Mus musculus: one gene and its partner. The protein of the gene in region 1 purifies or fractionates together with the protein of each later gene. This does not show direct contact. Links are inferred from orthologs where the notes say so. Each region holds a gene or a part of one and is shown in the gene's direction. Other genes may lie near its edges.

Evidence for each region. The genes of interacting proteins can lie anywhere in the genome.
Region 2: the proteins of Asxl2 (region 1) and Ogt purify together in Homo sapiens (affinity purification with mass spectrometry; 3 studies listed by BioGRID and IntAct, with this or other methods). This does not show direct contact. The link is inferred for Mus musculus from reciprocal best matches to the Homo sapiens genes ASXL2 and OGT.

The regions. Positions count from the first base shown.
Region 1 is NC_000078.6:3,471,831-3,475,398, forward strand, and holds part of Asxl2 (putative Polycomb group protein ASXL2), read left to right. Parts: intron 1-2,659; coding exon 2,660-2,783; intron 2,784-3,568.
Region 2 is NC_000086.7:101,642,990-101,646,557, forward strand, and holds part of Ogt (UDP-N-acetylglucosamine--peptide N-acetylglucosaminyltransferase 110 kDa subunit), read left to right. Parts: coding exon 1-167; intron 168-957; coding exon 958-1,201; intron 1,202-3,568. UniProt on the Homo sapiens protein: Catalyzes the transfer of a single N-acetylglucosamine from UDP-GlcNAc to a serine or threonine residue in cytoplasmic and nuclear proteins resulting in their modification with a beta-linked N-acetylglucosamine (O-GlcNAc).

The DNA.
Region 1 (3,568 bases):
ATATTATCTATTAAATTTTAAATGTACATGTACCATGAACATGGAATTAAGCATTTTAGGACTTAGGTTAAAATATATATATACAGAAAAATATTTGCATAAAAGCTTGTTAATAAGCTGGGCGTGGTGGCACACACGCCTTTAATCCCAGCACTTGGGAGGCAGAGGCAGGCGGATTTCTGAGTTGGAGGCCAGCCTGGTCTACAGAGTGAGTTCCAGGACAGCCAGGGCTACACAGAGAAACCCTGTCTCAAAAAAAACAAAAAACAAAAAAAAAACCACAACAACAAAAAAAGCTTGTTAATAGTAAGAAGTAGCAAACAGCCTAACTTAATATAAATTTTATCATATATTGTGTATTTTGTATGTATTTATTATTCATATGCCTAAGATAAATCAATTAGGGGATTATATAGACATTTCTATTTATAAGATGTATGATTATAAAGGATTAAAAGTTTATGCTGCAGAACTTTGCACTATGTAGTTTAGATATGACACAATTACCAAAACATGCCTCTCATGCAGAAGACCCACATTGGGCTGTGAGAGTGCTTCCTCTTCTTAGAGAAGACTTGGGTTTCATTTCTAGCACCTACCTCAGGTCACTCACAATTCAGCTCCAAGGCCAGAGCCTGATACCTTTTTTGCCTCTATAGAAACCTGGCCACACTTAGCATATACTTAGACACAGACACACTTGAAATTAAGTCTTAAAATCTTTTAAGGGTCTGGAGAGATGGCTCAGGGGTTAAGAACAATGGCTGATTTTCTAGAGGGTCCTGGCTTGATTTCCAGCACCCACATAGATTCCTTATGTCCTTATGTAACATACTTCTGAATTCAATGAATATTCACAATAAAAATATTTTTAAATTCTAAGGCCCAATGAGATAACTCACTGGATAAAGGTGTCTGTACTGCCAAGCTCAGTTCCCTGACTTCTGTCTTGGGTAGTCACGAGATAAAGGAGAGCACCACCTCAGATACAGCACCCTCTGACATCCACGCACATGAGTGCTCCCATGAGTGCTCTTAAATAAGTAGTTAATAGTGCTACTTACAAAATGTACAGTAAGAGTTTTAATATATTTAGTAGAGATATGAATGTATGATAAAGAATAAACTTTAATAAAGATAATTGCCCATAATTATCCTTGAGGATTGTAAAAGAACACTTCAGTGATAGTCAAAAAAAAGAATTTACCTTTAAGTTTGAATTAAATTTTTAAAATTTATTTCTTGTTTTTTATTTATAATTAGAACCCATAATCTTTATATCTTGAGAGTGGGTTTTACTGTGTGACCTGAAACTCAAATCCTCCTGCTTCTACCTCCTAAAAACTACGCTGAAAGATGTGTGCCACCACTCCTGGCCTGGAGCCCATAAACATTTTAAATCATGTGAGTTTTAAAGTATTTAAACTAAAAGTTATTTTAAGAGTTATTTACAGGATCAGACATGATGGTCACACACAATTATGAGCTGTCATGAGATTTGGGAGTTAAACCTTTGTCCTCTGAAAGAGCAGCACATCCTTTCAACTGCTGAGCCTCTTCCCAGCCCTTGATTGCATGTGTGTCTGCATGGAGGTATGGCCACTATGCGGCATGTGTGTGTATACATGCTTTAATGTCTATGGGAATATAAAGATGGATGTATGTTCATGTCTTCATACTTTATATCCGAAAGTTTCATAGGTTAATCACAGCCACAACTTTCTCAGATTTGAAGAAGAGAACTTTTGGTTGTTGAACTTTTTTTTGGGGGGGGGGTCTGTTTGTGTGTGCATGTCTCTCTGTATATATATGTATGAGTCTTTGAACACACCTAGAGGTCAGATAACAACTTTTGTGAGTCATTGCTCTTCTTCCAGTGCGTGGGTCCTAGGGATCAAACTCTGGGAGCTAGGTTTGAAGAGGGATTCCTTTACCCACTGAGCCATCTCACAGGCCTTCTTTCTTTTTAAATATTTATTCTAAATAATATATCAAGTTAACTCTATTAAGAAATTAAATGGTATAAAATAACCAGAAGATAAGTTACTGAGACTTAGACAAATGTTGCTCTTGTCCAAGGTAATTTAACACAAATATTTACCTCTGACCGTATATTCAGGTCAGACTAAGCTGTTACTGGTGCATGACTTACAATTCTTTTTTCAGATGTGATAAAAGTACGTGTGCAGTTCTCTCATTAGAAGATTGTAAATTCCTTGCCTTTCCCCCCCCCCCCCAAGTTTTTAAGTTTGGGAAAAATTCTAATGATTTTTTCCTTGTATCTATATATAAAAGACTAATCTTGGCCTCCCCTCAAAGTGTCTGAACTCTAAAGGTCATTTAGGCCTTGCCAGTTTTGTTTAATTTAAGCTTTTGTTTGCACTGAGTAGATTTCAGAGTAGGTTCTCACCAGTTTGCTTGGTGGTTGTTGTTGTTGTTGTTGTTGTTCTTTTTTTTAAGATTTACTTTACTATATGTAAGTACACTGTAGCTGTCTTCAGACACACCAGAAGATCTCATTACATATGGTTGTGAGTCACCATGTGGTTGATGGGATTTGAACTCAGGACCTTTGGAAGAGCAGTCACTGCTCTTAACTGCTGAGCCATCTTGCGAGCCCAGTTTGCTTAGTTCTTACTGTCGGGTTTTTTCTTTATAGGCCTTGAAGCAGCAACAACAGAAGAAGAAGCAGCAGCAATGCAGACCAAGCATGTCCATCTCCAATCAACACCTCTCTCTCAAGACTGTCAAAGCAGCCAGTGACTCTGTACCTGCCAAACCTGGTAGGCAAACTGAGCATTCACCCTGTCCAATGGAATTTTTCCCCCAGCATATTTGTACTTTTGATATTATAAATTTTTTTACTGAATTTTTCATTTTTAAATTGCTATATTTATTAGCATAATCTTTCTGCTGCCACAGAATCCTAGAAAAAAAAAAAAGAAAATACTTTTATATGTAAAATTACCATGCACTTAATTCAAAATATAACAGTGAAATTTGGGTATTTCATTATTTCAAATTAATGAGAAACCCCTGGAAGCTTAAATTCATTATACGCACGAACGCACGCGTGCACCCGTTTTGTTTCCAAGGTCAAAGTGAATTCTTTGTCTCTGTGTGTACATGCAGGTTGGGGGTTCAGAGGATGGCCTCAGATGTCATTCCCCTGCACCATTCTGCTTCGGGTGGTTTTGTTTTGTACAGGGTCTCTCATTGGCCTGGAGCGTGTGGTTTACTCTAAACTGGCTGACTAAATAACCTCGGGAATTCTCCTATCTCCCTTTCTCAGTCCTGGGATTACACGTGTGCTGTAATGTGGTTCTTTGTGTGGTTTCTGAGGATCAGACTTAGGTCCTTATTTAATAAGAACTTTCTGCATTTAATCATCTATACAGATCTAAAGTGAACTCCTTATCAATGCTCTCATTTAAAATATGAAGATGAAGCTGGAGAAATGGTTCAGTCATTAAGAATGTGTACTGCTCTTGCAGAGGGCTTGGTATTAGTGCCCACCATCTACATGGTGGCTCTCAAACACTTAACTCTAGTTCAAGGGGATCGGATT
Region 2 (3,568 bases), on another chromosome or scaffold:
ATGCTTTCCTTCCAAGGGTTAGCTGAGTTGGCACATCGAGAATATCAGGCAGGAGATTTTGAGGCAGCTGAGAGACACTGCATGCAGCTCTGGAGACAAGAGCCTGACAATACTGGTGTTCTTTTATTACTTTCATCTATACACTTCCAGTGTCGAAGGCTGGACAGGTAGGAGATGCCGGGGTAACCTGCCTCTTGGTGCTGAGCTTAAAAATGCTAATTAAATATCTGAACTTCAGAGTTTTCCAGTGCTGGGTTTCATCTGAGCCACCAACGCAACATGTGCGCTCTTGTTCACTTTTGACATGCCTGGTTGCTAGTTTTCCCCCGTTTTGCGGGGGTGAACATATCATCAGTATGACTAGGGTCTTTTCCCCCAGATTTTGTCACTTGAGGATATTCTTTTCAGGTAATTATTCTTAGTGTACATCTGAGCATCCAGACCTGTCAGCTTGAGGGACTCTGGTAGGAGGGGCATATGTAGCTCAGATTGGAAATACCCTTATTAAATTGTTGTTGCTTTTAGCTAATTAATTGAATTAATGAAAAGAGAAGAATTTGTGCTATGGATATCTTAGTAAATTATCATTTTGGCACATTTAACATGAAGATGTGTGTTTTTAAATCTTTTTTTTTTCTGAAACAGGGTTGTGTCTTTAAATCTTGCCAACAAATGGAAAATGAGACTCATATGCTTTTTATTTTTAATCTTAATGATGTTATACAATGTGGCAGTTTGGTAGTAGATTTTAATAAGAATTTTCATACATAAGAACCAGCTTTCTTATATGAAATGTGGATACTGTAACCTTAGGAAAGTTTTAGTTTTCAAACTTTTTTCTGCTGTTTGCTAGTTAAAGGATAATGTTCCATAGCACAAGATTTTCCATTGCATATGAGCCATGCCTCCTTTTCTCTGACATGCATATCCATGCATCAACACTTTTTATTTTTCCAGATCTGCTCATTTTAGCACCTTGGCAATTAAACAGAATCCCCTTCTAGCAGAAGCCTATTCGAATTTGGGAAATGTGTACAAGGAAAGAGGGCAGTTGCAGGAAGCAATCGAGCATTATCGACATGCCTTGCGGCTGAAGCCTGATTTCATTGATGGTTATATTAACCTGGCAGCAGCCTTGGTAGCAGCAGGTGACATGGAAGGAGCAGTACAAGCCTATGTCTCTGCTCTTCAGTACAATCCTGTAAGTAAACGTTTATTAGTTGCTTTCCTTTCACAGCACTCCAGAAAACAAACAAGCATCGTTTGATACTTCAGATAATAGGGGTTTTTTTCATGAAAGTCAAGAGTTGAGAGAGATGTTTATATACTTGAAATGATGAAATAGCTTTGACTTAGTCTGCATGACATCAAAAAAAAATCGATTCTATTTAGGAAGTTAAAAAGCATAAAAATGCCGGGCGGTGGTGGCGCATGCCTTTAATCCCAGCACTTGGGAGGCAGAGGCAAGCGGATTTCTGAGTTCAAGGCCAGCCTGGTCTACAAAGTGAGTTCCAGGACAGCCAAGGCTACACAGAGAAACCCTGTCTCGAAAAAACAAAACAAAACAAAAGCATAAAAATTATCCTTACCAAAAAGTCTGACCAGTTATTTCTAATGCTAATTAAAACTTAACACACGTGATTTTTTTTTTTTTTTAAAGATTTATTTATTATTTTATGTAAGTACACTGTAGCTGTCTTCAGACACACCAGAAGAGGGAGTCAGATCTTGTTATGGATGGTTGTGAGCCACCATGTGGTTGCTGGGATTTGAACTCTGGACCTTTGGAAGAGCAGTCAGGTGCTCCTACCCACTGAGCCATCTCACCAGCCCGTGATTTTTTTTTTAAGATTTATTTTATATCTAAGGACACTGTAGCTGTCTTCAGACACACCAGAAGAGGGCGTCAGGTCTTATTACAGATGGTTGTGAGCCACCATGTGGTTTCTGGGATTTGAACTCAGGACCTTCAGAAGAACAGTCGGTGTTCTTACCCGCCGAGCCATCTATCTCTCCAGCCCCATACGTGATGGGTTTGTGTGTGTGTGCTGTTTTAATGAACTTGGATAAATTCTGATGGGTATTTATAGCAGTTAGTTGATTTTTAGGAATGATGGATAAAAGGTCTTAATCTGTAATATAAAATTTTTTAAAGGTGCTAGAATATTAGTAACTACAAAACGTTCTGAATACCTCCCCTCAGTATAGTCACAAGTAATAGAATTAAGACAATTACAGATCTAGACCAGACTTTGAATTAGCTCTTCAATTTTTTTAAAGTCTAAGTTACATGTGTTTTCGTGGAGAACAAGTATTAGAGTCTGTGAAAGATCAAAATATAGTGTGTAAAACAAAACAAAACAAAAGAAAAATTTAAAAAGCTACAGGATGTAAAAATTGCCCTGGAAACTGTTGATGGTAATGAAGGGAAGGTGGCTGTAAGCTTTTAAGAGGTAAGTAGTAGGGGTGGGGGATGGGTCTTGGCATGCACTTGAGTTAAGTTGACATTGAGCATGGAATCACCCTCGAAGTGCTTAATGATTAACTGCCATTATTGAAAGTCTTCTACAAGCTCAGACACTGCTGCTTCAGATAAATGTCCTCTGAGTCTTTACCATGATCCTTTGGTGAGGATGGCATTATTTCTAGTTTTGCCAATATAAAATCCCCAGTAGGCTTTGGGTTATGTAAGGTTTTTGAGATCACATAGCTAGCTAGCAATGGAGAAGTGGATGTTGAAACTTGAAGTTGAATTATCAAAGCAAATGTTGACATGAATGAAAAATGAAAGCTAAAAAGGGCCTTCTTTGCCCCAAAGCAGCCATTGAGCACAGCCTGGAAACCATTAGACATATAAGCCTGCCTCTTGACTCTAATTTTATAGTTTAGGAAACTGAAGCTTATTTTAGTAGTTTGCCAAAACTCTGTGATCATTTTTCATCTTAATAACTTTTTAGTAATCATTTTGAAAGTTAATTTTGAAAATTAAATTCTATTGTTTTATTTCAAAAAAGAAGATTAAAAAATCACTGTGGAATGCTATTTTAACTTTCTAGATGTTCTGTATAGAGCTTGAGTCAGGGCAAGCACTCATTTGAGTGGCTACCTTTAGTTCAGCTAAATGGCGCTTTTTTTTTATTTGTGAGTTCATTATAATAAACACTTTTTATTCATTGCTTTTTGATCTAGTGAGAAATTGCATAGACTTGGAGATAATTAGAGCAATTTCTCGTGTGTTCTTTCAGAGATATTCAGTGTATATTTGAACTTAGAATGTATTTGTAATTAGTTTTAGGCAGCTAACCTTGAATGTGTTGCCTGTGGGGTTTGGACTTAATTCTTCCTAAGGCACAAGCCTTTCTCTTGTGTGCCCAGTTGTCACAGGATAGTACATTCTTTTCCTTTAGTAATCAGGTTTTTTTGTTTGTTTGTTTTTTGAGACACGGTTTCTCTGTGTAGCCCTGGCTGTCCTGGAACTCACTCTGTAGACCAGGCTGGCCTCAATCTCAAGAGATCTGCCTGCCTCTGCCCCCCAAGTGCTGGGATCAAAGGCATGTGCCACCACGCC